Linked DNA regions of Callithrix jacchus. The protein of the gene in region 1 purifies or fractionates together with the protein of each later gene. This does not show direct contact. Links are inferred from orthologs where the notes say so. Each region holds a gene or a part of one and is shown on either strand. Other genes may lie near its edges.

Region 1 (3,751 bases):
ACTGATAGCACAACAGGGTGACTCTAGTCAAAATAACTACCTTTCAAAATAACTAAGAGTATAATTGGATGGCTTCTAATACAAAGGTTAAATGCTTGAGGCGATGAATACTCCACTTTCCATGACATGATTAGTACAAATGCATGCCTATATCAACATACCTCATATATCCCATAAATATATACAGCTACTATGTATCTACAAAAATTAAAAATTATAAGAAGAGAAAGGTCTCAAAAAAATCAGCCTAGTATTAATTCTAGAAAAATAATCCTGACTTCAGAACTAAGATAAATCTTTGCTTTGTTTTCTATTCTTCCTTATTCCCAACATTCAGACCAATCGAAAACTTTCACCTGTTATTACTGAAGATACTCTGGGATATTCCAGTAGAAGGTTTGAGGACAGGGCAAAAAAAAGACCCCTATAATTTTCATTTGAGGGAATACATTTCTGACACTGAAATGTAACAGCAAATGAAAAGAACAGGTTCAAAAGTTAGTTTGTCCTTGGACTAATAAAATGCACTCTGAAAGATATCTGAATTTGTATGTGTGTGTTTATTTTTAATAGAAATACTGAATCCCATGTAGGCAAAAGAGAGTCAAGTCCTGATTACCAAAAAAGCCTCCTGGTACCCAGAGTTTTCCCAGAATATTCTCACCACATCCTCAGCTCGCCTTTCCAGCCTCATTTCCCACTACTACTAACATGTACTAGGTTGTGAGGAACAGATGGGTTGTTAGGTCCAAAACATCCTCCGTGCTCACTCATATTGTGGTCTCCATCTGGGACAGCCTCCATCTTCCTTCAGAACCTACCTCCTCAATTAAGGCTTTCCTGTTACCCAACAAATGTGATTATTCCTTTCTTTACCCCAAGCACATTGGTTTTACTCAAAGGGCTTATTCTGTTCTGATATTACAATTATTTTTGGACTTAGTTTAGTACTGCCAATCTCCCCAGAATATAAATTTCCTTAAGACAAAGGACATCTTTATTCAACTTTAGATCCCTCAAATGTCCAAATGCATGCTCTGCATGCATGAAGTTCTCAATGTTTAATTCTTATGTATCCAGTCAGAGGTGGCTTTAGTTGATATCAATTTGGACTTTAAAAAAACATATATAAATCAACCAAATATATACATTAGGTTAGAATTAATTTTAAAATGAAAACAAGCCAGTATCATTAGAAGTTATTTTTTTAATTTCACAATGATTTCTGTAGCATCAGATAATAAGGCCCAATAGCAAAGTAATAAATGCAATTACATGTGCAGAAGCAAAACTTAACTTTTACAATTAGCTTTCTACTTCACCTTGCTGAAGAAAACTTCAGTAAAATCAACAACAAACATCAATATTTGTAAACCTAGTAAGCATAAGGAAAGGTAGGTTTTGAGCCCAAAAGATTCCCTCTTTCATCAAGTCTTACAAATCATTCTCTTTTTTTGGCATCCACAGGTGTATAGATTCTTAAGGTATACGTGATATGAACTAACAGGAGAAATTTTAATTTGGCACCCATGAGATATAAAAAAAATTAAGAGTTTTAAAAGGGAATTGACATTTACCATCTGCTTCACGTAAGAAGGATCACTATAGTCTGCCATTCCATCCTCAGGATTAATGTTTAACTTGTCTCGAAGAGGAGTCCTACCCGGCGTAGAGTTAATAACTGGTTTGGGAGTTGTTCCACTCCGGGGAGTCAGCCCTTCAGTTCCATTAGAAGGAGTCCTAGAAAGACAGGAATCCCAATTAACAGCAGCGCTACTTATATTTTAGATTGTGCTTTCAAATGTTTGTCACATAAATTATTTCGCAGGAAATAAAGAAATAAAGATTCCAGAAATTCTGTCTAGCTAGTTTCATTAGGCTCTCTAGGTTAAAATCAATGTTTGGTCGAGCTACCATGTTATTTAAACATAATATTTTTACTTTTTAACTGTCAATAGTCATTACATATGATATTTTCTAGCCTTTCTAATAAACTAGGTCCACTAAACATTATTTCAACCTTTTCCAGGCACATTAGGGCAGCTAAGAATATGCAGTGGGCAGGGAGATGGGCCACCACACTCAATGACCAGATTCCTCTTTGAATTTGGTTTTGTCTCCTCCCTAACAAGCTGTTGGCTCTCGCGCATCATTATCATTGTCATTACTACTGATGTACACACTTTAAATAGTTCCTCATTTTACATTTTGTTTAGAAACCAAATACCACACTTTTAGAATCCCATCTAAACATGAGTAAGCTCCTGAGGGAGGCCTAAGAGAGTCTCCTAGGAATTAGATCCACAGACTTTGCAGCAACCCATATTTTAATTATTCAAAGTCTTTTTTTTTCCTGGTTGCCTATTTCCTGTATATTGGTGTGTTGCAGAATGGTGATGCTGCCAGACAGCTATTCCTGATAGGTAAGGTGTTATCACATAAGACATGGTCCCTGTCCCCATGGATTTTACAATCTAGGTGACAAACAAGACGTACAGTTGTCCCTAAGTATCCACAGTGATTGGTTCCAGGACCAAAATCTGCAGATACTCAAGTCCCTGATATAAAATGGCATCGTATTTGCATATAACGTTTGCACATCCTCCCATGTACTTTAAATCATCTCTAGATTACTTATAACACTTAATACAATTTAAATACTATATAAATAGTTGTTATACTGTATTTGTATTTGTATTATTTTTTACTGTTGTACTGTTTGGGTTTTTTTGGGATTCTTCTTAAAAAATGGCAGCTTAAAACTAAGCAAAAGAGTTATAAAAAAATACTAATTCTAGTTAATGCATGTGGAAGTGCTTAGGGATCAAACAAACTGATATCTGCAAGTTACTTTGAAATGCATTTAAAAATATGATGAATTGATGGATCGATAGGTGATAAAGCAAATACACTAAAATACTAGCAATCTTAGAATCTAAGTGGTGGCATGATGATACGGATGTTCACTTTAGCATTTGTCAACTTAAACAGGTGAGAGACTGGGTCTCCAAAACAAGGAGTTTATTCAGGAACAACAAGGGATGACTGTGGGATATGCGTGCTATGACAGACCACAGGTATACCCGAGGGTGCTGGGGCAAGGGGAAGGTTTTAATGATAAAAGGGAGAAGTCCATGAAAACTGCTTTGAAATAAAGGCCACTGGTTACAGGGACTTAGCACAGGAGGTGGCATTTATTTTCATTGCCGATATAGATAAGAGCACCCCTTATCTGAAATGTGGGACCAGAAGAGTTTCAGATATGGAATTTTTTCAGATTTGGGGATATTTGCATTATACTGGTTGAGCACGCCAAATCTGAAACTTCGAAACTGAACTGTTTCAACGAGCATTTCCTTTGAGTGTCATGTTGTTGGTGCTCAAAAAGTCTAGATTTTGGATTTTCAGATTTAGGATGTTCAACCTGGTAGGGCAATGTCTTCACAGAAGCAACTTATCTGGAATTTGTGTGGTTTTCAGAAGATCTCTGCAATAATTTCTGTCATGGGCATATGCACATGAGGGTTCCTTTTTCATGAAAATATTACATAAGTGATTCCATTTCAATACTGATAACTTCCACACATTCTTTCAACCTCTCTAAATGCTTGATATTTTCAAAATAAAATGCTGGGGGAAAAGCAACAGTAATACATACACAAAAGGATTACAATCTTAATAAAATTCATAAAGTAATCATTAAAAATGAATCAATCTACTCTAAACTCAAATATAAAGCATTCAAAAATAA
Region 2 (4,419 bases), on another chromosome or scaffold:
GGATAGTGTAGACTGGGGGCTTGGGAGAAAGGACCTGGTGAGAGACAGAGATCTGACTCCGGCCACTTCCTTCTGCTCCCCACAGCCTTCCCAGTCACACTAGCTTCCTGCAGTTCCTCCAACAGATCTTTTTATTTCCTGCCTCCTTCCCACTGCTGTTGCCTCAACTTGGAAGGGCATAGAGCCTGGATTTAACAAATATTTGCTTAATGATTCAGTAGATGATATTGGAACTCTTTTAAGGGGAGTAAATGTTAAATCCTTGAGAATGTATGAGACTGCCACAGAAGAAAGTATGCAGAAAGAAAAGGTGTCAGTACAGAAGAGTCAGCAAATAACTGTGCAAGAGCACATTCAGAGCGTAACCAGGATAACTGCAGACACGTTCCAGGAGACAGGTAACACTCAATGCTCAGCGGAGGCAAACGGTGAAGAATGAAAGAATCACTGGGTTTGGCAATAATTTCAGGAAAGAAAGTTGAGGAAAATTTTCCATGAGGTTGCGCGGGGGTAGGGAGATAGAAGTCAGATAATTAAGCAAAAGAAGTCAACTAATACAGACTATTTTATTAAAAGGTTCAAGGAAGAGAAGCCAATCTCCTTCTACCAGAAAGTAGGGAAACAACCAGAGAGAAGCAAACTGCGGCACAGTGAATAAAAACATGGGGCTACATTCTAAAGGCGCTGTGCATCTCTATCAGCAGAGTTTTGACAGGTTCCCAGTGCTTTTCACACGCACTATCTTATCTGATCGTACCCCAGCTCCCTGATGATACACCCTCTAACTGAGGGGTTCCCAAGGTGTGGTCCGTAGACCAGCTGCAGCATCACAGAGAACTTGTTGGAAAGGCACATTCATGGGCTCCACACCAGGCCTACAGAATCAGAAACTGCGGGTGGGGCCCAGCAATCTGTTCTAACAAGTCCTCCAAGGGATTCTGATGCTCTCCAAGTCTCCACTGCCATCACACTTGGGAGACGACCGCTGCAGAGCGCGGTGGCCGCGGCTGGAGGGCAGAATTGCCTCTTCTGAACCCTCGGCTTGTGTCCTCCTCGCTCCTAAGGGAGGCAGTGAACGAGACAGCCCCTCAGAGCAAAGTCGTCCCGCTAGGGACTCAGCCGGAGCGAGTTCCGCCCACCCCAGCCGGGGCGGAGGCGAGGTGTGGTTTCCTTCCCCAAGCCACGCCCCCGGACCCGCCCCTAGCATCCGCCCCCGCCCTCCGGTTTCGACTTCCGGCGCTGGAGGAGGGGGCCGGTAGGGAGGGATTCGTCCAACTCTGAGACCGGCGCGGGGCGGCTTTGCTCTTCCAACCCCTCCGTGTGTTAACAGGGCAGAAGACGCAGCGGCGGAAGAAAAATAAGCTAGTCTAGGACAGGTATCCAGGCGACGTGGAACCCAGTAAGGGAAGAAAGAAGCCTTGAAACGTCTCTCCCTTCCCCTGTTTCGGTCCCTCACCTTAACCCGCGCGGAATGGAAAAGGCAGAGGCGCTCGGCCAAGATCTAGGCGGGCCGCCGGGGTGGGGCCAGGGGAAGAAATCTCGCGATAGGAGAGCGGTCCGGGCGGGGGTGGCACCTCTCCCCGCTCCTCCTGGCGTTAGTTCCGGTCGCAGAGGAGACACCGCCGCAGTTGCAGCTACATTGGGGATTTCTGGCTCTTTGCTCTTCGCCTTAAATTCGGTGAGGCGCGGCGCCCGGCTTAACCCGAGCCGACATTGCAGGCCGTCGACACTGGGCAGAGGGCGAGTGAGGCAGCGAGCTGGATGCGGCCCGGCTAGGATGGGTCCGAGCGGAGGCCGCCTCTCGAGGCCCGGCCGGATCCTGGGCCTGAAAGGCTGCCGCTTCGGCAGGGAGGCCGAGGGGCGGCAGTGGCCGGGTCGGGAAGTGGGGTCAGGGTGCGCGCCGCGGCGCCGGCGGCGAAGGCCGTGGCCGAGGAGGCCCCCTCTGGGCGCTTCCTGGTCTGGGTAACAAAGCCACCGCGGCCTCTGTTGGGTGGTATACGCGTGGAGGCTTCCGCCGGGAGGGGCAAAGGGGCCACCAACACCACTGCGGCCACCGTCTCCGCCGCTGCTTTCGCTGGAGGGCGGGCGGATGTACGGGGCGGCTGGGGCCCCGGAGCGAAGCGCCTCAGCGTCTGTGGTCCGTTCGTTGCGTCGGCCGCCACCGCAGGCAACAGGGTTAGTAGAGAAGGAGCCACGGCACCCTACGGCGCCCCGCTGTGGCCAAGGGAGTCCTGGGCAGGAGGCTAGGGTGTGGAGAGGGAGACACGTGCCCGGGGAGGAGGCTGGGACTGTGGGATATGGGCGAAGGAGGCTAGGCTGGTTGCTCTCTGTTAGTTTTGCAGGCTTGAGTGGTGCAAGGCGGCGGTCACAGGCATGATCTAGGGTAGGATGGTGCTGCTCATAACCAGGCCTGTCAGAAGGAAGGGGTTCACCTTTTGAGTGTTTTAGAATTGGCATACATGTTTTGGAAGCCTCTTGACTATGGTGGTAATCTGCGTTCTGCGCTTCTTAGTGGTCGTGGAAGATGTAAGTGAATGTAAAGAGGAATGTGGAGGAAACTGAGCAATTAGGTTTAGGATGGGTCATCAGTGTAGCACTGTAATGTCGCTTAAAAGTGTAGTTCACAGCACTAATTTAAAGAGTTTCTTGTAGAGAAAAATGCAGATTTTGACGTTCTGTTTGATTAAAGTGAAGGTAATTCTTTGTGCCTGCACCGGGTATAATTGGAAGCTGAGAGTGCGTGTTCCATTCGATTCATGTGTGACTAGACTAAGGTTTGATGCTTTGTTTTAAAAATGAGTATTATGGCACTGATATTAAGGCTTTATTACTCCTTTCCTAGGGTGTCTTTTATGAATAATCAAAAGCAGCAAAAGCCAACGCTATCAGGCCAGCGTTTTAAAACAAGAAAAAGAGGTAAACATTTATGTTTTAATGTCTCTCTCCAAACTTCCAGAATATATTGTGTTTCTTGCCTCCTGTTATAGGCACTTGCATAGTACTAAAGTCTCAATAGAAGATACCAGAAAGTAACTTAAATTTCTCATTGACTGCCATTTCAGATACACCTTTAATATTTCTACTGCTTTCTCAAGCCTTAATTTTTAGTAAGAATATATCTCTAAGCTGGTTAGTGAATCTTTTTAGTGTGAAGGTAAAGTACTTTTTTAAAACAAAAATAAGGGCTCTGTTTTCACTAGCAAGCAGTCTCATTTCAGCAAACTTAAATGAGCAAAAATGTTAGTTTATAAAAGGAAAGCTCCTAATGTAGTCACCCAGATTTTGTGAAAATTTGTGAGAAAACTCAAGACTTCACCCATGGACGTTAATTATGGAACAGGATTTACATTGTAATGTCTTTCAAAATACAGACTTAGTAGGGAAAATATTAGAATTATATTACTACTTTTTTGCATTAGTGTGTACTTAGGTGAATATTGAATTCTGTAGCAAAGTGCTGTACTAATGATACAAAGTTAAATAAGATGTGGTCTCATATTTTTAACGTTTTTGCTCAAATGCACTTTAACCTTATTTTATAGGAGGTTTTGAGGAAATGAAGAACTGGGTCAGCTATTGGTTAGAAGTTGTGTTTTTCTTTTTCTGCCTTAAGTAGCAGACATTTTGAGATATATATGGTAGAATTTTATAATCACTAATCATAGGCTGTCTGTCCCCTTGGAGTGGTGGTGGGGAAACCAAAGTGTGATTTGATTCTAATCTTTGCAGATTCGTTTAGATTTAGCTGGTAAATTTTCTTAAGGAGCTGGAGTTGTAAACTAGAGCAATTTGTCAGTAAAAGGGGAAAGTCTATATCTCTTGAATATGTGGATTATTGATGTTACCTTGATATAAATAATAGCAAGTAGCTTTATCATTATTATTAGCATCAGAGAGAGGTATCACTTCTGTAGTTCCATATAAAGATCATTCATGGCCTGGCTATTGATGATTAGGGTCCTGGGTAGGGTATGCAACAAGCCCTGTTTTTCTGGGACTGAGGGAGTTTCCAGACACAAGACTTTGAGTGCTAAAACCGGAAAAGCGCTGGGCAAACAGAGGTATTTGTTACCCTAGTACTGTGTGAAAATTAAGATATCATCTACTCTAGATTGGGAAAGCAAAACCCTATTACGGAGTTTGTGAAAGCAACTTAGTTACAGGTTGGCGATGTGCACTAGGCCGTGGCCTGAGTGCTTTTTATATTATTAATGTCATTTAGTATTTACAACAACTTTATGGGATAAGTACTATTATTATTTTTTTTTTTTGAGAGTGTCTCCCTCTGTTGCCCAGGCTGGAGTGCAGTGGTGTGATCTCAGCTCACTGCAACCTCTGCCTCCCTGGTTCAAGTAATTCTCCTGCCTCAGCCTCTTGAGTAGCTGGGATTACAGGAGTGAGCCACCACACCCGGCCTTG

Evidence for each region. The genes of interacting proteins can lie anywhere in the genome.
Region 2: the proteins of CDC5L (region 1) and BZW1 purify together in Homo sapiens (affinity purification with mass spectrometry; 3 studies listed by BioGRID and IntAct, with this or other methods). This does not show direct contact. The link is inferred for Callithrix jacchus from reciprocal best matches to the Homo sapiens genes CDC5L and BZW1.

Annotation. Positions count from the first base shown.
Region 1 is NC_133505.1:52,878,002-52,881,752, reverse strand, and holds part of CDC5L (cell division cycle 5-like protein), read right to left. Parts: intron 1,741-3,751; coding exon 1,578-1,740; intron 1-1,577.
Region 2 is NC_133507.1:121,909,964-121,914,382, forward strand, and holds the start of BZW1 (eIF5-mimic protein 2), read left to right. Parts: upstream 1-1,597; 5' UTR 1,598-2,089; coding exon 2,090-2,175; intron 2,176-2,842; coding exon 2,843-2,916; intron 2,917-4,419. UniProt on the Homo sapiens protein: Translation initiation regulator which represses repeat-associated non-AUG (RAN) initiated translation probably by acting as a competitive inhibitor of eukaryotic translation initiation factor 5 (EIF5) function.